Ovis aries: one gene and its partners. The protein of the gene in region 6 purifies or fractionates together with the protein of the main gene of each other region. This does not show direct contact. Links are inferred from orthologs where the notes say so. Each region holds a gene or a part of one and is shown on either strand. Other genes may lie near its edges.

Region 1 (3,500 bases), on a different chromosome or scaffold from region 6:
GATCCATAGGGTTCATCACGGTACAATTAACTAAGAGCATATTCTTTCCCTTTTGTTGTACGGTTTAACCCTTTTTTCTATAAGGGTTGTGACCACTGTCTGTGGTCTACAAACTACCAAATTTGTGCTTTTCAACCTCTTTCCTGGCAAGCCCCCCATCTCTTTCGTCTCTAGGGGGATACAGAAGTAAGAGCACCTCATGAAGGAACCTACAAAACCAAACAACAAGCTACTCATTTCCTCTTAAAATGAAAAAGCAGCTCTGGAATCCTAGTAAAGCAGCCTGTAGGGTTAGAGGCCAGCGTCCACACGAAAACGGCTGAGGACTCCACTGCTGAAGGCAAACGTTCCAGCTGTAAAGTAACATGACAAAGCACAGGGGAGCACCTCGGCCACAGCGCGGCAGCAGGTCCACCCCACAGCAGCCACGCTCACTGGAGGACGAGCGGCTGCGCAGATGCTGGCAGCAGACCCCAAGCCCTGGATCAGAAAAGCCTTTGGGAAATCTAATCGATACCCTGATTTCAGTCCATTAAGAAATCACTTGTGGTTAGTTTAATAAATGAATGTTAAAAATCTTCCAAAATTTTTCTTTCAAATGTATTTTACACATTAGACAGTTCTTAAGAAGGGAGAATGCAGTTTCTTAACACTTAACATTGAAGGTTTTATTGGCCTTTTAATATTAATGTTCCCCACAAAAGTTTTAAGTTATCTCTAAGTCCTAGAACGTCAAAGTAAGAAGAGAAGAAAACTGACTAAGCTCAGGGGCGCTAGGGGAAGCAGCAGCGTGGCAGCCACTCCTCGGTGGGCATGCTCAGGCACCCTTCTTCTCCAGCAGGATTCTGTGCAGCTCATCCGCGTCCTCGCTTGTCTTCACCCGGATCAACATGGGGACGGGGGTGGCGGCGTTCTTCTCATCGACGGGCGGGTTCGGAACGCAGACGACGAGCACGTTGTTCTTCCCTGTGCGGGTGCATGGCATGCTGGGTGCAATCAGGATGTTGAGCAGTATGTTGCCTGCATTGAAACAAAGGGAAAAATGCATCAAAATAAACTACTTTCCATGAGACTACACCTTTAATAGGCTAAACATTAAACAATCATGCAATGCATACTTAACACGGAGCCACAGGAACGTCACAAAAAGGGCCTGGTTCCCTGACAGTATGGGGTCCCCAAGAGAGGAGCACGGGGCTTCTGGCAGGACGTGGACTCGGCCCCACCGAGGCCTTCTCCCCAAAGAGTGGTCAGCTGGGAAATGGCTCTGTCACAGGGGGCAGCACGCTCACAGGCAAGAGTGAGCGCACTGTGACTGCACCACAGGTCAGCTGAGCCCACATGAAAGAAAGGAGCTTCACAGGAGTCTGTTTCAGGAACACAGTCTGGTGTCGCCTGGCAACCCCGACCACTTCCCCTCAGAACCCCCACCCGGGCACTACCCCCTCCTTTCAGAGGACTGTTAATGGTAAAGCTGGAGGGTGGACAACAACGAGTTAATGATTTTTTGCTACATAAAAAGGATCTCTTTACAAGGTTAATTCTCCTGGAGAGTTAACTAAACCGTCCAATTTACCTACAGTTTCTTAGTCACAGTTCTAGCACAAAGGAAAATGAAAACATTTTGTTACTTCCTTGGCAGCAGCTTTCTAATACATCGAGTTTTCCTTCTGCACTATCACCCCAGCATTCAAATAAATCTGTAAGTAATGTGTCATACAGGATGAATTTGTCCTGAACAATCTCTATTCTATTCCAAAACACACATCAACATACTTGAAAATCTTGAAGACTAAAATCAGCAAGGAAGAGAGCTTCTATGTACCGTGTAATTATGATTATTTTGTGCCACCTGAAGAAAAAGCCACTCACCTAAATTGGTGTCTGCCCGCACTAACAGCTGTGTCTTCTGATTCGCTGTAGGTTTTAAATGCAGAGTGCCCACACCCTTCTCTTTAAATTCATTTTCTTTCTTGTAAAACAGTTTACACCTAAGGAGAAAAATAATCGACATGATCACTCAGTGACATGTCACGAAAGCCACACGATTTTCCAACAGCCCCTGCTCATGCCTGTGTGGAAGCCAGTTAGCAAATACAGCAGAGGGAGCTGGGTAGTCTTCTGTTGACCCAAATCAGGTCTGCACACAAGGCAGGTAAGAGTCTGATGAGACAGCCTACAGTCCCACCTTTTTTCTCACTATTACACAGCAGGCCTGATACAATTCTTCACAATGGTTTCTGAAACTATCCTTTCTCAGGTCAGGCAAAAATCACTGCCAAGCACCTTACAGCTCCTGGATGTATTGGTCCTGAGCTCAAGAGCTGCCCCTGGTGCTTAAAGAACAGGGACATACAGGACAAACACTCTGCCCCTCCCCCTCACCTTTTCCCTAGTTCTTATTTTTGAATTTTCTTCAGGACTCTTTCATCTCCATTGGTCATTATTAAACAAGTCAAAACCACTGCCTGTTCCTTTGATTCACTATGACTAGAAAAAAACCTTGGGTTAGAGTCTCTGTGGTCCAGTGGTTAGGACTCGGCACTTCCACTGCTGGGGCCAGAGTTCAATCCCTGGTCAGGAAATTAAGATCCCACAAGCCTTGAGGAGTGGCAAAACAAAAACCAAAAAAACCTCATTCAAAACAAGCAAAAAATGCCCTTAGTCAGGGTCATTCCCTTATACCATCAGTGTAATTATTTTAAAACAGGCAAAAGGAATTGGTCTCTTTTTAAAAGTTCTCAAAAATAAACATTTGAAATCCAATGGGATTTGGTGATTTATACTATGAAAACTGCTGACTTACTAAGTCTGAAATTTTTGTATTAGAAAAACATATCCAAGGGAAGCTTTAAGGGCACAAATGTTTTTCAGTAAAATCTTTGTTAAAAAGCACTAATTTCATTTCACTGAGAGATAACCAAAAATTTCCCTTCAGCCTTTTTCTGAAAGCAGCAACTCGCATTAAACAAAATCCCCCTACACGACAAACCAGCTTGCATCCCTGGGGGAAGACAGAGTAAAGTAAAGCCAAATCTAGAATCACTGACTTAGATGACTATCTCTGCAGGGAAAGGAAGGGAAGAAGGGAAGGAGAAAAAGGGAGAGAACGATGAGGTAAGAGATGAGGACAGAAAAGAATTTCTAAAGCACCTGAAAAGCTGAAAGAGCTAAACTAACATAAAAGAGCAGGCTTCGCCCAGCAGGAAATTTAAAGATCATATTATTTTTAAATAAACAGGCCCAGAATTCTTCCTTTGTCCCAATTCTGGGAGCAGGCACAGCCTGACCCCAGGAGGGGTGCCTGGTAAACTCAGCAGGAATGATGTTGCCCATGCGCTCCAGCCAGAAGCTTGTTTCCACGTCTCTGAAAATAAATTCATCAAGCGGGTTGCTGTGACTACTACTTACTTTTTGGAGTAAAAAGCATCGTCTTCTTTTACTTCAGTAACTACTACTTTTGGTGGCTCGTCATTCTCTTCTTCATCTCCACCTTTTGT
Region 2 (4,222 bases), on a different chromosome or scaffold from region 6:
TGGGTTGGGAAGATCCCCGGAGAAGAGCATGACTACCCACTAGAGTATTCTGGCTTCCATGGACTGTATCGTCCATGCGGTCGCAAAGAGTTGGACACAACTGAGCAACTTTCCCTGACTTCTGATAAAATCACGAAGTCTCCATGAGTAGAACTCTAGGATGGGTCTAATTTCCAAAAAACCTTTTAAAAAGGATTTAGAATCATAAAATTTCTAAGATGTTTTAAGCAGTATTTTAAGAAAACTTTTAGGTAAACAGTAAGTGGCACAGAAAGAAAATCAAGAGACAGCTGAGGAAAAAGACCTGAAAAAAGCTGGTGACAACTACAAAAAAAAGAGAGGGAGGGAGGAAGGGAAAGGGAGAGAAAGAAAAAAAAAGGCAGGAAAAAAAAAAAGTTGGTTCTGGACATACTTTCACTGAACACTTGAATGGCCAACTCAAAGTAAAAGCTGGCAACTGGAAAAGCAGGGAAACTTGAAGGGGAGATCAGAGCTAAAGACAACCTTGGAATCAGCTTCCACAGATTACAGAGGATGGGCGGGGGGAAGATAATCCATCAGAATTACTGAACAGGAGCACACAAAGACAGATCTTCACATTTGATAGTTAAAACCCACAAAGCTAAGACATGTTATTTAAATATCTCAGAAAGGCCTCATATTGATTTTCTGGGTTTACCATAACTCATAAACTAAAATATCCTCACCTGGTTGTTGCGGTTTTCCTGCAGTGGAGAAGTAGCATCATCAGGAAAAGAGCTGACATTTCTCCTTTTCAGCATCTGGTCATCCTTCTTAGCTTTCCTTAGCTCCACATTCACTTCTATTCGGCGCCGCCTCATTTCCTTGAGAAAAGATAACGTATCATCTCACCTATTACATCAGTGTTAGGTGCCAAGTGAAGACAACTTTTTAAATTCACTCAAAGTGTGGACGCTCTTTCCAAATACCTTACCATTTAAAAAATACTAGAAAAACAACAGAAGGTACTCACTGTACTGTCTTTCCCCTTGTTCTTGAATCTGTGAAGGCGGGGAGCTGGTGAATTAGCATTCTCATTGGTGGACATGATTATGAGACAAAGGGAGAAAGCTGCAAGATAGGGGAGAGAAAAAAATTTCCTTTTTATCACTTTGTTTGGCAATAACATAGCATTAAGGGAATTATCAAATACACGTTCAATCCGTATTTCCATACTAGAGGAGGAACTTCCTTTTTCAGCACTATGGAACATGAGTTTTGGCCAAATTATATTTGGCCCCTCCCCTCTGAAGGGCTGAGGCTTCCAGGAGCAGTGCTGTCCATCAGAAATATAATGCAAGCTGTATAAATTTAAGCTTCCTAGTAGCCACGATTGTTAAAAGCAAAAAGGAACAAATGAAATTAACTTCAATAATATATTTTATTTACTCCAATATCTATTTTCTCACTTCAACACATTACATCAAAAAAATTACTGAACTATTTTGCATTCTTTTTTCATACTAATTCTTCGAGATCTTGCAGGTACTTTAAGCTTACAGCATTAACTCAGTTTAGACTAGCCACACGCCTTTGGTGACTATCACACTGCACAGCATGGCTCTAGACTCTATATAGGATCCATGAATAGTTAACTGAAGACAACGTACGGGATATAAGGTTACAGTTAAAATCTATGTCGTACGGGCCACAAATTCAGATCTGGAGGCTCTGCTGCTGCTGCTAGGTCGCTTCAGTCGTGTCCGATTCTGTGCGACCCCATAGACGGCAGCCCACCAGGCTCCCCCGTCCCTGCGATTCTCCAGGCAAGAACACTGGAGTGGGTTGCCATTTCCTTCTCCAATGCATGAAAGTGAAAGTGAAGTCGCCCAGTCATGTCCGACTCTCAGCGACCCCATGGACTGCAGCCCACCAGGCTACTCCGTCCATGGTATTTTCCAGGCAGGAGTACTGAAGTGGGGTGCCATTGCCTTCTCCGAGGCTCTACTGGCTTTAAACGGCCCAAACAGATACATTCTGCACGTTTGAAAATATTTAAAAATCTGATTCGTCGTTAACATTATGTAAACTTTCATAAAATTTCCTGCCCACCCTGAACACCTGCGACGCAGTTCAGCATCTCGCACGTTTTCATTTCCAGAAATTCTGAGTGAATGCACTAAATTAGGCTCTATCAGCTGCGTTCCACTCAAACTCACCTACTTAAGAGCAATCTCCCAAAAAAATCACAAAAGTCCTCCTTCAAAGTGGCTATCTTTAATTCCATTCTGTTCTTTTACGAAATCGTGACACAGCCAACCCAGGGCCTACAAATTAAGAGATAGCACTTCCAACTGCCACCTCCATCTGCAGTCCCCTCCCCTACCCCCTTCCCCACCCCCATTTCGGGGAAGCAGCAGCGGGAACCCGCGGAGGAGGAGCCAGAGGCGTCGGGCCCCCTACCGAGGCTTTCGTTCTCGGGCCTGACTCTAATAATTCTTACTCAAAGGCGATTGCAGCGGTTCGCAAGGCCTCGGGCACTAAAGCCCATGCACTCGCATCCACAGTGAAACACCCGTTTCGTCAACGAACTACGCCCCCAAGGCCTCATCGACCAGAGAGGCCGAAGCCTGGCCGGGCGTCTACCCCGGGACTCCCCTCCCGCCTCCAGCAATCCAAGAGCGGCCTAAGGACCAGCCTTTGTCGCTCCACCTGCACTGCGACCTCAGTTCGTTACCTACACAGCAAGCTCAAGCGTCCACCGGAGGCTGTGCGCGGCGCACAAGCTGCGGGATCTACTGCCTCCAAACGTCTACCACGGTCAGCCCGAGGACGGTGTGGCTCGTGCAGCCGGCCGGCGCGATTTAAATTTCCCGGTGGCTCCGCATTCCGATTGGCTGGTTCGAGCTTACGCTATACGCCCATTGGTGGATTTGAAAAACACGTTAGCTGGGGAGGGGTCAGAGGGCCCAGAAGTAGATAGGATAGCATCGCGAGATAAGGGAGCGGCCGCGCGATCCCTGAGAGCCTTGCAGTGCGGAGAAGAAAAACTCCAGATCCCGGCATGCAGCGCGCAGGGCCGGTTCCCTGTCCATCTTGGTCGGAGGGTCAGCTCTTTGCATGGGTTTACCGCGGTGTGGTGGCTGGTCGTTTTCCTGAGTGTTTGCCTTAACTAAGTACCACAAATGATTCCCAAAATAATTCTCTTTAAAAATCTTAATAAAGAAATATATTGCTATGCATTTTTCCCGATGGGACTCAGAAAGAACTTTGCCGGGGTCTCTGGACATCAAGCAGGGGAGGGATAAGGCAGATATGTGCTGCATTTGTTAGTTACTGTTTTTAACTTGTGTCATAAAAGACTGCATAGAAGGCAGAACTATGTTAACAAAAGCTTTATTAATGCCTGCTTCTCCAGTCTTATTTTTAATAATTTGAAATACAAAAGAACTGCAAATCTTTATCCATATTTGTTAAATGTTAATTTACTATTTTGATGTGTATGTATATATATATGTATACACACATGCACGTGTACCTCTATTTATATATACATGGCTTTTACATATTACTTTTTGAACCATTTGAGAGTAAGTTTGAGAAATCTTGTCCGTTTACCCCTAAATATTTCAGCTTGTATGTTGTAAGAATAAGGACATTCTGTTATATTACCACACCATAATCATCAAATTCAAGACAATTGAACTTATATGCGATTATTTATTCTGTGTTCAGATCATCAATTGTTATAGTAATGATCTATGCTATATTTTATATATTTCAAATAAAATGTTTGCATTTTCTTGTAATTTAAAAAAAGCTTCAGTGATAGTCATCAGAACCTCAGGATTATGGTCCACTTTCTTTTCGCAGCTTTTCTGTATCCTGAGAAGGGTATTTTTAAGAAAAGCTGTATTGGCTTTTTCTTTTTTTACTATGATTCAAACAATGAACTTTGTCCCTCCTGCAGGCATTTTTGCCAGCCTCACTCATTGTGTAACAGTAATGAGAGTCATGGAGGTTCCTTCTACTTCCACATAACCAATCAGGATAATCTTACCCCCCCTAAATGCACAAGGTTGTGGGATTTCACCTCTAAACCAGTCACTACATGGTATTCTCCAGGCTACTGTGAATGGTTCAGGGGCAGTCATGTGACCTAAATTCATTCAGTTGAGAAGCCGGATACCTTTTGTTTAATGATGAGAGGTAGGAAAGCAGGCTCTGTTCTCAACTGAGAGATGTGAATCCTGGAAATCCA
Region 3 (4,285 bases), on a different chromosome or scaffold from region 6:
CATCAGTCTTCATTCCTGCTCTGTCACTGCAAAGACTTAAAAATTTTCTAATGAAGGTCCTATCTGGCTCCCAGCTGGCTTGGGGCCACCTCCTGCTTACTGCAGCAAGAATAGAGTGAAATCAGCTCCAATCAGCTAATTGAATTGTTTACCATTTTCAATGTTTTCTTCCATTATTATGGCTGAATTCAGAATACCCTGCAAAATACAGAAACCTTAAAGAGAGTAACAGGGAATTATCTTTATCTAACAGGGAATTATCTTTATGTCAGTCACCTTTACTTGCATGGCCAAAAGTCTTAACTGATTTTATACAAAGCACACATACTTCTATAAACAATGACAGACTTAAAAACAAATTCATAAACCATCAAGACTTTATCATTAATTCAACAAACATTATGCTAACATACTGCAGATAAAATAAATAAACCCTACTCTCAAATGAGAGGGAAAAGGTAAAAATAAAATTGAGAGCAACAGAGAACAAGTAGTCCAGGAAACAACTGAGAGCAGCAATTCCAGACTATCTGGTATAGTTTATAACACAGTTAAAGCAAAGGAAAATTATGAAAATTACCAAAGCTGATCACAGCTCTGAGCCTCCTAATAGCCAAAGTATAAAGACAAACAGGATGGCTTACGAATAGAAATGATCTAATAAAAAGAGTCATTTGTTTAAATTTTTTTGTAAAGCAAAGAAAAAAATCAAAAAGGCCTGTCACTGAGGGCTTAAAAGAACCCGTCTTTAAGGTTTATACTTTATAAGGATCAGTAAATAAATTATAAACAGTGTCTTGGGTAGCAAGGAAGAGTTTTTTCATGTTCCCTTTCTCATGTCCCAATCCTAGATAAAAGTTAAAGTACAAAATATTAATTCACAGTTCTGTGAAGGAATTTCTATAAGGATCTAAAGTAACATAATGCAAGTACACTGGTGATGTGTTAATTTCTATCATTTAGCTTAGTCTAGGTTTTCATAAATGCATGTTTTGCTTCTCTACCAGACTGTAAACACTCAAGGCTTGCGTTGTTTGATTCCATTTGAACTTCCTTTGCTTTTTAGTACAGCTCCCGCTCAATTATAATGACCGATAAAATTTTACGCAGTCAATATTTATAGTCTTTATCTATTAGTCTTCTCTGCAACACTACAAATTCCATGAGGACAGGAACAATGTCTTGATCATGTCCACATCCCCAGTCTCTGAGCATATGAATGGACCAAAAAAAGAAAACACAACCAAGAAGTATGAAAGGAGAGGAGAAATAATTCCTAAAATGTCAGTGATTCTGTTCTAACAAGAGCTGCAACACCTAGGTAAGTTACTTAACTTCTCTAACCCTCAAAGCTTTAATCTGTAGAAAAGGAAAAAAATAACACACTTCAAAGTTACTGTAAGCATTAAACCTTTTACTCTACAGAAAGTATTTAGCACAGTATCTGGAAAAAAGTTCATTAAACGTTACCCCTTTAACTTCTCTCAAGTTCTCCAACTGAAAACCCCGTGTTAAACACAACAGTGCCATCAAAGAATAAACTATTTCAGTAAAAGTACAACAGAGTTCATCCTTCCTTTCCTTTGAAGTTAAAATTTCATCTCTTCAATCTTTAAAATGGAAGGGGAATAGCTTGTGAATTACTTTCAAAATATTACAAACGCAAGAACAAGGGGAAAATGTCAATAATGAGCCTTGAAAAAAAAAAAAATAAAAAAAAAAAAATAATGAGCCTTGAAGTAACATGAAGGGAAACATCACTTACTCATCTACTGTTAAGAAACAGGTTTTTAAGGAAGTGTTTATTAAAGGAAAAGAGGACTGAAAAGTTAGAAATGTTATTTAATAGTATGCTTAGAAAAATTACTTCCAAACTGTTTATTCAGAATTTAAACCTTAAAAATCAATTATCTTGACATCGTTTGCTTAGAAGCCGAACATTAAATACTTCCATTCAAACCGAAAACATTCCTTCATGACGGCTTCCCGGACTCCAGTCATCCTTCAGTCCTCTCCTCCCATTTTGAGCTTCTCTCGCATCACCACTGACACACGCTGTGTGCAGACTAAGTTCTGTCATTCCTATAATTACCACACCCCTGTCAGCCGCTTCAGGCCCATGTTGTTATGACATCTGTAAACTGCAGTCGGCCGTCTCCACTCCCCTGCCCCTTCCCCCGAACCTCCGGCTCTGGCTGAAACTTGACAATTTCCGAGACCAGACCGTTCCCTACTGCCTCAGTTAGGGTTTTTACACACACCCCCATCCCCTATTCTCACCTGGCTCAGTCACGCACACTCTGCGCAGCCCACCCCCGCCCCCACGCCCGTCTGCGTGGGGCCGCGGCGCTGGCTCCGCGCTGCCTGCTCGGCTCCGCGCTGCCTCCTCGCCGCCCCGCAGCCTCTGCGCCCCGCAGTCCCCGGCGCCGCTTACAGCCCGGCTGCCGCGCCACCCCGCCCCGCCCCGCCCCGCCTCGCCTCCACCGGCGTTCCCGATGGCGAACACACCAGCGCTCCCCACCCCCACCGTCCCCTCCGCCTGCCGCGCGGCCGTTAGGACAACCGGGCCCGTGACGCACGGACGCGCCGCGAGTGCCCAGGCCCAGGAACCCGAGCTCGAGCACAGGCGGCGGCCGGCCCTCGCCGCGGGGCCTCTCCTGGGTCCCGCCGAGGACTGCCGGATCGGCCGGCGGGAGGGGGAGGGGTCGGGGGCCGCCACAGCCCCGCACTCACCAGGTTCAAGGCAACCGATCCCGGTGCCACTTCTGGGGTGAGCCTCTGCCTCGCTCGCTCGCCTGCCGTCCGTCTTCTACACACAACCTCGAAAGAGTCGGCTCTCGCCGCGCGGTGCTCACCAGGCCTCGCTCGTCGCCTCCGCCGCCGCGCACCCAGCACAGCGAGACCTAGCTCAGCCGGCGTTCGCAGTGCGCCTGCGCGCGGGGGCCGGGCCGCGCACTTGCGCGTTCCTCTCCACCACTCTGCTGCAGAGGCTGCCGGGAGATGTAGTCTTTCAGCTTGTTCTCTGGAGGCTCTGGCGGTTAGCTGGGAACCAGTGGAGAGAGTCTGGAGTCCGGGAGAAGGTCCGATTGAGAAGGTGGGCAGTTAATGACAAGGGTTGGAGAGTCATGCTGGAGTGACAATGAAACGGTAGTTCTTAGGCTGAATTGCAAAGTTATGTTTTGTCTTCGAAGTTCTTCCAGGGCGGCAGGTCGATCTTCGCTCACCTGTCTATAGCTAGCCACTGACACGGTTGTTAACTAGAACACGTTGATGGAATGAATGAAGGCTGAGGGATTTTTACAAGAGTTATAAGTCAGCGCCTCATGGCTCAGGCGTTCACGTGCAGCACGTTTGAGAAAACTTCGGGCTATATCATATTTGGTTCTGTCCCGTCCCGCTTTGCCTGGTAATGCACTGAGCAGTATCAGAATTCATTAAGGAATTAAACGAAACATGAACGCTGGCTTTACTCTCAACAAATGTTCTCCAACGAAAATTTGGGGCAAATAATTTACTGTTAAATTTGACGGAATTCTCTTTGGGGGATTCTTTTTGAGCAGTGGCTTCTAAAGAAAGACTGAAGGCAGCCAAGCAGAGGTCACAGAATATAAAGTCTCACATATAACGGTTTATCAAATCAACCTAAAACACACACGGAGAAGCAGGGTGGAAGAAATGGGATAACTCTGTAACATTAGAGCGGGAGAGAGGACCATACGATGCAGTGTTCATTTGTCCTGGATGTCTTTCTGCCACATCAGTGTTTCCCACTAAAGTGTGTTTTCTAGGATGTGTTGAGTTCGATCAAGGGCCCTGGTGAAAGGGAATGTGTTCTAAGGGGGAGACTTGGCCACGGGGTTGCAAAAGAGTCAGACATGACTTAGCTCACCACCACTGAGCTAAGGACAGATCACTTTATTCCAATCAGGAGCTAATATTAATATTATTCAGAGCTGGACTTTAGGGTCTGTGAAAACTAGTTTCTTTCCAGTTCACCCTTTCTTCTAGTTGGGGTATCCCATGTGGGTCCTGACCAATCTGAAGTATTTACTAGGGCCACTCTTCCTTTTCAGGGCTTCTCTGATAGCTCAGTTGGTAAAGAATCCTCCTGCAATGCAGGAGACCCCTGTTTGATTCCTGGGGCAGGAAGATCTGCTGGAGAAGGGATAGGCTACCCACTCCAGTATTCCTGGGCTTCCCTGGTGGCTCTGCTGGTAAAGAATGTGTATGCAATGTGGGAGACCTTAGTTCAATCCCTGGGTTGGGAAGATCCCCTGGAGAACAG
Region 4 (3,500 bases), on a different chromosome or scaffold from region 6:
GGATGAGAAAGGGATTTACATTATCTTAGAAATATGCATGATAATCAACCAATCCTCATGCAAATTATGACATACAAAAAAAAAAGTTACGAAAACAGGAAAAGCCACGGCCAATGTTCCTATTTCGTATGTATTTTGCATCAAACATACATTCTGCATCCAACAAAACACTTTGAGAAGGAATATCATGACAAGCAAATGAAGAACAGACCCATCAGGAAGAAACAAAACAAAGCCACAGTAAGATCATTACTTCACACCCAGAAGAAGACACTCAAAAATTACTGGCAAACATGTGGAGAACCTGTAGCCCTTAAGACACTGCTGGGGGAAAGCAAACAGCAAAGTAAGTGTGAAAAATAGTCTGGCAGTACCTCAAAATATTGAACATAAAAGTTTCCATGCGATCCAGTAATCCTATTCCTGGGTATATACCCAAGAGAACTGAAAACTTAGGACCACATACACCTTACGTTAACTGTTCAGCACGACTACTGACAGCGGCCAAAGAGGGGAAAGAAAATGTCCATCTGCTAATGAACAGATGAATCAGTCACAAAGACCACTTTTGTATGATTCCACTTATAGAAAATGTCCAGAGGAGCTCAGAATATGGGAGTGACTACTAAGTATGTAGTTTCTCTTAGGGTGACAAAAATGTTTCAAAATTTACTGAGATGATGGTTGCACAACTCTGTGAATACACGGAAAACCACTAAATTGTATTCTTTTGTATGGTTAAGTGAACTGTGTATGAGGGCACTGTAGGATGTGAGTTATTTCTCAACTAAACTGTTATCCAAGCAGGCGACTGTGCTTCTCTCTCTGACTTACTTAGATTCCAGTCAGAAATCGTGTCATCGTCATCAATTTCATCGTCGTCGTCCTCCTCCTCTTCAATTCCATCTTCATCATGCTGCTGAGCCACTGTCCTTGATCGATGAAACCGTGGCCTGATATCTTGCTCACTATCAGGAATTGTTTCATCTTCTTCAACATCACCCTGTGTATTTTTTAAAAGGAAAATTCTGGTTATATTCATATAAGTTAATAGTATGTATATGGGTAAAAGAATGAGAATATTCACAGAGAGCATGACATATGATTCTGAAATATGGCTGATGCTTGAACAGTATGGGTTTGACCTGCAGGCCAACAGATAGCGTGACATGATTCTGAAATACAGTTGATGCTTGAACAGTATGGGAGTGAACTGCATGTCCAGTTCAAACAGGATGCAGATTTCTCTCCAGTAAATGAAGTATTAGATGACTACATAATCTGTGGTTGAATTTGCAGATATGGAACCATGGACAGGAAGGGCCAACTGTGAAGTTATACAGGGATTTTTGATTGCACTGGAGGTCAGTGCCCCTAATATCCCATTGTTCAAGGGTCAGCTGTATACATCTTCTGCTTGCCCCTACGTAGAAAATAGCTCTTTGTGAAGGGGAAGAATAGGCTATCACATAACCCATGATAGATTATCAGGGATTCTGAACCACATAAGATGGTTTCCCAACATCTGGTATAATCTAGAGTATCTGAATTAAATTCAGAACATATTTTAAGATTATTTTAAAATGAACCCCAAACAGTCAGAATTAACAGGAAATTCACGCTAACTCTACTAGTGTCACCATCTAGTTAGTTTCAATTAAGCTAGAATCTACTGCCAGTCAAATTCATTATGTTTGCTTCTATCTTTAACTCCATAGCATATTACATAACAGAAAGCCTATTTAAATAGAGCCTACTCTAAATAAATGTCCTATTAGTCAAATTCAAAGATCTGTAAGTCAGTGAAAATAAACATCCTTATTCATCAGGGAATAGTTTCCTTACCTTAAGTAGGATAATGTCTATATCTGAATACTTCATGCCATTCACTAACACAGGGATCAACCTATAAAGACAGAAATTCATGAAACAAAGATCTAAAGATCTCAAGGTCTCAACAACCTCATGAATACTAATAATACCACCACTACTGTTAACACTGCCTTATAGCATATTCTATGTCTGCCCTTCTCCAATGATGAGTACTCCCAATATGCATCTTAGGCCTCTTACATACTCATGCACAGAATCTACTGGATGGAACTTTAGAGTGGACAAGACAGCTTGTCAAGAGTGCTTAATACATGAACGAACATTCCCAATTCTTAAAGACTGATGTTCCATGATGCAACACTAAGAACAATGCAAACAATCTAAATGTTCGTCAGTAAGGGCCTGGTTAAAAACAAGTTACAACTGGGAATTTCCCAGCAGTCTAGTGGTTAGAACTCTGTACGTTCACTGTAGGGGCCGGGTTTTAATTCCTGGTTGGGGAACTAAGATCCTGTAAGGACTTTATTTTTGGATGCACAGTCATGAAGAAACACATGACAGTGAAGTTGGGAAAACAAAAAACCACCAGTGCAAAATACATAAAAAGCTCATATCCATTTGTATTAAAGACAATGAGATTCCTAGCCACAGCAATCAGGTAAAAAAGGATGCATTCCTATATACCAACAGCAAAAGATCAGAAAGAGAAATTAAGGAAATAATCCCATTTACCATTACATCAAAAAGAATAATACCTAAGAATAAACCTACTCAAGGATGCGAAAGACCAGTATTCAGAAAACTATAAGATACTGATGAAAGAAATAAAAGAATGACACAGACGGAGAGTTATCCCATATTCTTTGATTAGAAGAATCACTACTGTCAAAATGACTATACCACTAAAGCTACCTACAGATTCACTGCAATCCCTATCAAATTACCAATAATATTTTCCACAGAACTAGAACAAATAATCTCATTATTTGTATGAAAACGCAAAAGACCCTGAATAGCCAGAGCAATCTTGAGAAAGAAAACAAAGTTGGAGGAATCAGGCTCCCTGACTTCAGACTATACTACAATACTACAATAATCAAAATAGTATGGTACTGGCACATAAATAGAAATATATTTCAGTCAGACAGGATAGTAAGTCCAGAGATAAGCCCATGTATCTATGGTCACCTAATCCATGACAAAGATGACAAGAATATACAATGCAGAAAAGTGTCTTCAGTTAAGTGGTGCCAGGAAAAGTGGACAGCTATACATGTAAAAGAATAAAATTAAACACTCTCTAACACTATACACAAAAATAAACAAAATGGATTAAAGACCTAAATTTAAGACCAGACACTATAAAACTCAGAGGAAAGCATAGGTAGAACACTGACATAAACTGCAGCATGATCTTTTCTGATCCACCTCCTAGAATAATGAAAATAACAAAAACAAACAAATGGGACCTAATTAAACTTTAAAATGCTTCCGTACAGCAAAGGAAACCATAAAACAAAGCACACAACAAGGACTTAATCTCTAAAACACACAAATAGCTCATGCAGCTCAAAAAAAAAAAAAAGACAAAAACAACCCAATCAAAACGTGGAAGATCTAAATAGACATTTCTCCAAAGACACACACGCGGCAAAAAGGAGCAAATG
Region 5 (3,500 bases), on a different chromosome or scaffold from region 6:
CACTGACATACAGAAACCAGGGCAATGCATTACTCATGAACAGAAATCAGGGGGAAAATTCTTTTTTTCCATATTTAAAGAATCATCATACAGTAAAACTGACATTTTCTCCTCCTGTTTAATAATTCTATGAACTTTTATACTCTGGCTTCTCTTCAGATCGTACAAAATGTTTCGCTTTTTACAGTCCTATGAATTTTGAAACGCACGGTGGGTCAGATGGTAAAGGATCTACCTGCAATGTGGGAGACCCAAGTTCAATCCCTGGGTTGGGAAGATCCCCTGGAGAAGGGAATGGCAACCCACTGCAGTATTCTTGCCTGGAGAATTCCATGGACAGAGGAGCCCGGTGGCTACAGTCCATGGGGTCACAGAGAGTCAGACATGACTAACTGACTAAAACTTTCACTTCTAGACTCCTGTAAGTCCCACCACAAACAGGATATAGGAGAGTCCATCAGCACCAAAGCCCCATAACGCTTTCCCTTTGGTCACAGCCTCCCCTCCCCTCCCCCCTGGCAATCCCCATTTCCATCATTATAGTTCTGTCTTTCTGAGAACGCCAAACAAACGGAATCATATAGAACAGAACCTTTCGACAATGGTTTATCTCATTTAGCACAATGCCTCTGAGATTCACCGATGCTGTTTCATGGATCAACAGCTCATGTCTTTTTACTGCTGAGCAGTATCTCATCCTATGAAAGAATCAGTTTATTTATCCGTTCACTTGCTAAAGGATATTCAGATTGTTTTCACCTTTGGCTATCAGAAATAAAGGTGCTATGACATTAGTGTACTGTTTTGTGTGTGAACAAAAGCTTTAATTTCTCTAAAATAAACAGCCAGGAATGGAACTGTTGGGTCATATGTCAAGGGCACTTTAACTTTCTAAGAAAGTGAGAATCAGTGGCTGCACCATTCTGCATGCCTGTCAGCAACGTACGAGGTTCCAGCTGCTCCACATCCTTACCAGCCGTTGCAGTCAGTGCTTTTAACTGCAGCCACTGTGATAAGAGTGACCTGGTATCTCACTGTTTTACTTGCATCCCCCTAACGGCTAACGATGTGAATGTCTCTTCACCGCTTATGTGACATCCTTATATTCTCTTTGGTAAAGTGTTCAAGTCCTATGCCTTACTTTTTAAACTGGGTTGTTTGTTTTCTTACCAAGTTTTGAGAGTTCATTTTATGTTCTGGGTACAAGTCCTTTATTGGACATTTGATTTATAGTATTTCCTACCAATCTGTAGCTCTGTCTTCATTTTCTTCTCAGGGCAACTAAGACTTGGCAAAGCCAAGTTTCAAATTTTGATTAAGTCCAGTTTATCGATTTTTCTTCTTTTATGAGTCACATTTTTGGTGATTTCTAAGAACTCTTCAACTAACCCCATGTCATGATGATTTTTTTCCTGTTTTCTTCTAAAAGTTTTTAGTTTTACAATTTACATTTAGACCTATGATCCATTTGGGGTTCATCTTTACATGAGGTTTAGGAGGAATTTTTTTTTCTTCCCAAAGATGGTCAATGATTCCAACACCATTTATTGAGAAGACCATCCTCGCTTCACTGAATTTCTTCTGCACCCCTGTTGAAGATCCGTGCACCATCTCTGTGTGGGGCGTATGTGTACACTGCTCTGGTCCACTGCCCCGTGCGTCTACCTCTGCCATGACCATTCTGTCTTGATTTCTGCGGCTTTACAGCTATGTTTCAAAACCCAACTGGGTGATTCCCCCAACTTCAGAACTCCCTTATCTTAAAAAAAATCTACTTCAGTAAGCACTTAAGTCACCCACCTGAGTAGAATGTGCTTCGCCTGAGGTAGCAGAATAAGAGAGAGCCACCAAGTTGGCACTCCAGTGGAAATCACTAGGTGGCAGCTGAAGTTCTTTGCAAACAGATAACTATAAAACAAATCCAAACAAAAAATTTCTCATTTCAAATCCAATTTTTGAACATGCACCTGACTTCACTTTCTCTGCATACTTTAGATTCTAATTCACTGCTAGAAATACTATTCTAGAAATACTTTCTTCTTACATCTTTTTGATCAGGCTTCCATCGTCATTTTCACTAATTTTAAAACAAAATATTTTAAGAGATAGAGAGTCAGGAAAACTTAACAGCTAGACCAGACCCTTAACAGAAACTACTCCAATCTCTTCCCAGACCAAAAAAAAGTCCATTGTTGAAAGAACTGTGTAGACTTCCTATGGAATTTTCCCAGTCTAATCTTGGTTTGTTGAGTTGACATTTAAAATTGGCATGACTAGAGTAAGTATTCAAAGTTGCCTAGAAAATATTTCTGAGACTCAGCCAATATCAGGCTTCCTCTGCTAACTCAGGATGCCACTGCAGGACCTCTCCCTCACCTATGCTCCTAACTACAAACATGGTTTTCTAGACAGCAGGTGTACAGAGACCAGTACACACGAAGAGTTTAGGTAAGTTGGAGCCTGAGTCCCAGTGGAACAGAGGCCCCGTGAGCATGAGTACTGCAAGAGAGCATGCCTGATCTGGAGTGGACAGAAAGAGGCTGCTGAGAGTCCAGCAGTGAACATACAAACGAGAGCCCCCGTGTGAAAAGCTGACAATGAAGAGTTAAACAGCATTATAAAACTTGGTATAATTCTCTCCTATTTCTTACACGTGATTCAGTAGATTCAGTGCAACACGCTCCTGTCCTCTTAGGAACTCGGTTCATTAGTTTCTGTGGATGGCATTTAGTCTTAGACTTCACTGCAGAGTGACTAGCAAGACACTCATTAAAAATGTCAATGTCTTTAACTTTATTAAATGTAAATAAAGTATATCTTGTTTAAAATCATGATAAGGAGAGAGACTTTTTTCCCAATACACAAATGTGTATGCATGCTTGGTATTTCATATTACTATAAAAATGCAATCTATAATGCTTGAGTCGATTCAAATTACAGATTTCCAACAACTCTAAAAAGTTAGGGTAAAAATTCAGAGCCAATTAGGAATTTTCTCCTCTCTCCCCCTCCAGCTCTTTAAAGAATCATTACCTTAGTGATAGGTGACAGAGCAATCTTCCAAATAATGAGTTTCTCTTTGCAGACCAGACAAGCCCATCCACCTTCATCTATGTGAACAGTCAGCTGATCATCAACTGAAGAAAAAAACAAAGTACATAATTAATCTTACAGTATGAATTAAAACTGCAAAAATTTCTCATACCAAAATCTTTCTTACTGCCATACTCTTCACTCAAAACAGTAACCACCACACACACAAGATTAACTCACAACAAAAAATACTCTTGAATAATTCAAGAGTTATTAATATCTAAAGTAAGAGTGGTTTGACAACCACTCTTATAAATATATTGAAAGGTAAAAACTATGTTCTGGTCTTAGGTTTAATATTTCTTTTTTGTTATAAATTTATCTTACTTTTTATAATATTTAGTAAAATTCATAATTTTATTTTGATAAAGCAACACAAATAATAAACCCCCTCATTAAATACATAA
Region 6 (3,500 bases):
AGACATCTCAGATTTCTTTTAGTCTTATAAATGAGCAACTCACACTCACCTTGCTCACTGTTGAGTGTCCTCTTAACCCCAAGGTTGAATAGCCATGTTTTGTTTTGTTTTTTAAACTGATGCTCACAGATCAGGGCATAAAAGACTAAATTTTCCTTAATAATGTTTGTCAAATTTTGTTAAGCATCACAGATTATAAAATATAAGTTATAAATCGTAGGGAAGAGCCTAACACATAAAATACACAGTCATGGCCATATTAATTTCAAGATTCCAAAGCACAGATCTCTGACTCTGAAATGACCATTTCTGCACAGAAGTGTTGCAACTCAAGTAGACGTGACCTACTATGTTCAAGGCATTTCGGTTAAAACGCAGCCATTTAACAGACATTGATTAAGCACTGTAATGTTCTTAGGTTCTGGGAATATTAAGATGAGTAAAGTGTCGATTCTAAAGGTGCTTCTGGTCTAAAAAGGGGAAAGTAAAACAAACATAAATGCATAGTACCACCATCGCCAAGATGGAATGACAAACGATCTAAATAAGCGCACAGAGAAGACACTACTACGAGACAGGAGGATTCACAGAGGTCCTATTTACACTTTTAAGCAGACGTAGCAATTTCGTGAGGAGAGGCAGCAGCATAGGAGGGACGGCTCAGTAAGGCGCAGCTGCGTGAAGAAATGCAGGGTTGCAAGTAAAGCCATTCGCTCTGGAAGCCCCACTTCTCTCAACGTCCTCCGGCTGTTGTCACTTCTCCCAGTTACCTGCTCTGTGGTTTTTATCGTTATGTTCTCTTCCACTTTGCCAATAAAATCCTACCGTCTTTGGTCCACTGCCCTCTCACAAGGTCTCATCTACCCTGATGATTTTAATCACCAACAAAATCTTTCCCATTAGCACCCAAGACCCATACTTCCGGGCGTCAGTGCTGTACTACCTCTTTGATGGGCGTTCCACTACGCACCTGGCTGGCCTGGGGAGAAGACAACTCCTCCTGATGTATCTCTGCAATCTGTTTCATTCCTTCCTCGGACCCTTCTGCTGCTCTTCTAGTGGACAGCCTTATTGAGACTTCTGGTTTGGTTCCCTTGAAACCCATCCTCGTAAGAAGCAACCAGTATTACATGGTTCTTGTTTGGTTCTTGTCTTTCCTCTCAATTAACTGTTTCAAAGTTCTATTCTTGCTACTCTCTTAAGCTAAGCAGAATTCAGTTTTAGGCTATCCTCTCTGTTTGCTCCACTCACTCACCTTACATCACCTCTTCTCTCATCATTTATTTGAAAATTATGAGTGAATGATTCCCAAATCTGTGTCTCCAGTCCAGAGTGTCTATAATCAGTTTTATATCTTAAAAAGTCTTCTCACACATATCTGTCAACTTCAGCAGCTTGAACTTAATGTATCTTCAACTCAATACATTATTCTATCCCCCTCCATTTGATTTCATTAGTACATATCACCACTATCTCTATCCATATTATTGATCAACTTCCTAATCTGTGCTCTGGTCTCCAAATTTTGTTGCCTTCAAATCCATCCTCCAAAAAGCCACCAGATGATTGAACAAAAGTACAAGTTTGACCCATCAACTCAATTAATTTTGCTCTCAGACATCCATCAACAGCTTTTTTTGTTAAAGGGACAATGAGGATGACAGATGGGAAGAGAAAGATATTTCAGAATAAAGACTCTGAAATCTTACTCCTGTAGAGATGTCTAGCAGGAATCAAGAAATACAGCACACCCCTTGTGTTAGGATAGGGTTCTAGGCTATGAAGAGCTTTTCACTGTAGACACAAAACCACGCATCCATCAATAATGCAATAAGAATAGGAAGTATAATTCCCAGGACACTTATAACATGTTTTATTTAGTATCTATGTTACCATGTATCTGTACCAAAGAATTATATAATAGCATTACAAAAACATCAAAGAGTCAAATGAATTAATTCCAAATGAATTAAAGATCAGTGTAAATCTTCAGTAACTCTTTCAAAATTGAACAGAGAAACAGGAAAAATTCAACTCTAGCTCCATTTTTCTGTCTGCCCAATAGTACTTTTTCATTAACGATTTAATAATTTATGATCATTGCAGGGTCTCTGGCAGATAGCACATACAGGTATAGGTATCATCATTAGTGCTCAGCCACACTCTTCTGATAACACAATACTGTCTACTCCTTAATGAAACTAGCTGTGGAAATGACCGCTAGCCATCCTCACTTCCTCTTTGAGAAAAAGAGACAGAGTAGTATTTTATTCTGTGTAAAGGTCTGAGAAAGAGTGCTCCGTTCTAAGACCTTTGCATCTGTATCAGCCAACTTTGAATAGATCACGAAGAGCCAGAAGTTTCTAATAAAAGTGCACACAAAGAAGAGGTCAAAGCAAATGCTGGACTGATTAACACACAACCTAGGTTAAGAGAACGTGCAGTGTCAGTTCCAGGCAAGTCATTTTCATCTCAAGACAGTTTGGAAAATTATTGACACAGGAGGAAATGCTTGTCCTGAAACATCTAAAATACTGAGGTTTGTTCTTCGCTGGTTTACAGAGAATAGAATTAAAATGTTCTATTAAAGTAATGAACAAAATTATTCCAAACAGCCATAAACGTACCTGGTTTCTCAGACATACAGGACACACACTTATTGTCTTCTGCATTATTAGAAACACAGCACACTGGACACTCCCAAGATCCCACGGGCCTTTTGAATTTATCTGCAAATCCTAAGGCACCAGTGGTCACAGTGCAGCTGGAGGAGGAAGCAGCCACAGTTACAGCGCTTTCTGAAGCCGCTGGCAACGTAAGGACTCGCTTAACACCAGTTCCCGGTTTCGGTGTTTCACAAGCTACACATTTTATCGCTTCAGGTTTATTCTGCACTAAACAGGTATCACAATCCCAAGTTCCTACTGCTGGTTTAAATTTGTCTCCGAAGCCTGTCGTCCCTGGTGTGGAAACAGTCAGTTTGCCGCTTTTACTTGGTGTCCCGGTTGCAGTCTGTTTAGCAGAATCTTTTGGTAGCAATTTTGTTGTTTGGCAGGCTACGCATTTGTTGTCTGTGACTTTGTTCTGGAGTAGACAAGTATCACACTGCCATGACGACCCAGCTTTTAAACCTTCCCCAAACCCAGTTCCACTAGAAGAAAAGCTGCTTATTGCTGGTCTTGTGTGAACTACCGGGCTTGTGGTGGCAGGTTGAGCAGCAAGAGAATCTGCCTTCGGTGATGCAAAACCTACAACCGGGGGGAAGAGGTGGGTGGGAGGGGAAAAATTAGTTAATGTTTTGATTAGAATGTCTCCCTGTTTACTGTTAATAAATATTAATAACATTAATTAATATTGGGCTGGACAAAAAGTTCATTTGGGTTTTTTCCGTAAGATCTTACAGAAAAACCCAAAACAAACTTTTCAGCCAACCCAATAATGTGATATGCTTATAGCTGTTAGTAATATTATTCCTGGGAGAAAACATTTTTTACCTTAAT

Evidence for each region.
Region 1: the proteins of NUP153 (region 6) and NUP50 purify together in Homo sapiens (affinity purification with mass spectrometry; 8 studies listed by BioGRID and IntAct, counting the BioPlex papers as one, with this or other methods). This does not show direct contact. The link is inferred for Ovis aries from reciprocal best matches to the Homo sapiens genes NUP153 and NUP50.
Region 2: the proteins of NUP153 (region 6) and KPNA2 purify together in Homo sapiens (co-immunoprecipitation; 4 studies listed by BioGRID and IntAct, counting the BioPlex papers as one, with this or other methods). This does not show direct contact. The link is inferred for Ovis aries from reciprocal best matches to the Homo sapiens genes NUP153 and KPNA2.
Region 3: the proteins of NUP153 (region 6) and KPNA1 purify together in Homo sapiens (affinity purification with mass spectrometry; 3 studies listed by BioGRID and IntAct, with this or other methods). This does not show direct contact. The link is inferred for Ovis aries from reciprocal best matches to the Homo sapiens genes NUP153 and KPNA1.
Region 4: the proteins of NUP153 (region 6) and TNPO1 purify together in Homo sapiens (co-immunoprecipitation; 3 studies listed by BioGRID and IntAct, with this or other methods). This does not show direct contact. The link is inferred for Ovis aries from reciprocal best matches to the Homo sapiens genes NUP153 and TNPO1.
Region 5: the proteins of NUP153 (region 6) and NUP133 purify together in Homo sapiens (co-immunoprecipitation; 3 studies listed by BioGRID and IntAct, with this or other methods). This does not show direct contact. The link is inferred for Ovis aries from reciprocal best matches to the Homo sapiens genes NUP153 and NUP133.

Annotation. Positions count from the first base shown.
Region 1 is NC_056056.1:221,496,523-221,500,022, reverse strand, and holds part of NUP50 (nuclear pore complex protein Nup50), read right to left. Parts: intron 3,494-3,500; coding exon 3,412-3,493; intron 1,992-3,411; coding exon 1,873-1,991; intron 1,021-1,872; coding exon 818-1,020; 3' UTR 1-817. UniProt on the Homo sapiens protein: Component of the nuclear pore complex that has a direct role in nuclear protein import. Actively displaces NLSs from importin-alpha, and facilitates disassembly of the importin-alpha:beta-cargo complex and importin recycling.
Region 2 is NC_056064.1:48,653,715-48,657,936, forward strand, and holds the start of KPNA2 (importin subunit alpha-1), read right to left. Parts: upstream 2,801-4,222; 5' UTR 2,699-2,800; intron 1,093-2,698; 5' UTR 1,070-1,092; coding exon 995-1,069; intron 846-994; coding exon 708-845; intron 1-707.
Region 3 is NC_056054.1:187,775,848-187,780,132, forward strand, and holds the start of KPNA1 (importin subunit alpha-5), read right to left. Parts: upstream 2,801-4,285; 5' UTR 2,734-2,800; intron 2,409-2,733; exon of another isoform or gene 2,281-2,408; intron 1-2,280. UniProt on the Homo sapiens protein: Functions in nuclear protein import as an adapter protein for nuclear receptor KPNB1. Binds specifically and directly to substrates containing either a simple or bipartite NLS motif.
Region 4 is NC_056069.1:8,882,645-8,886,144, forward strand, and holds part of TNPO1 (transportin-1), read right to left. Parts: intron 1,907-3,500; coding exon 1,846-1,906; intron 1,004-1,845; coding exon 835-1,003; intron 1-834. UniProt on the Homo sapiens protein: Functions in nuclear protein import as nuclear transport receptor. Serves as receptor for nuclear localization signals (NLS) in cargo substrates.
Region 5 is NC_056078.1:1,017,453-1,020,952, forward strand, and holds part of NUP133 (nuclear pore complex protein Nup133), read right to left. Parts: intron 3,138-3,500; coding exon 3,034-3,137; intron 1,909-3,033; coding exon 1,801-1,908; intron 1-1,800. UniProt on the Homo sapiens protein: Involved in poly(A)+ RNA transport. Involved in nephrogenesis.
Region 6 is NC_056073.1:39,060,132-39,063,631, reverse strand, and holds part of NUP153 (nuclear pore complex protein Nup153), read right to left. Parts: intron 3,249-3,500; coding exon 2,628-3,248; intron 1-2,627. UniProt on the Homo sapiens protein: Component of the nuclear pore complex (NPC), a complex required for the trafficking across the nuclear envelope. Functions as a scaffolding element in the nuclear phase of the NPC essential for normal nucleocytoplasmic transport of proteins and mRNAs.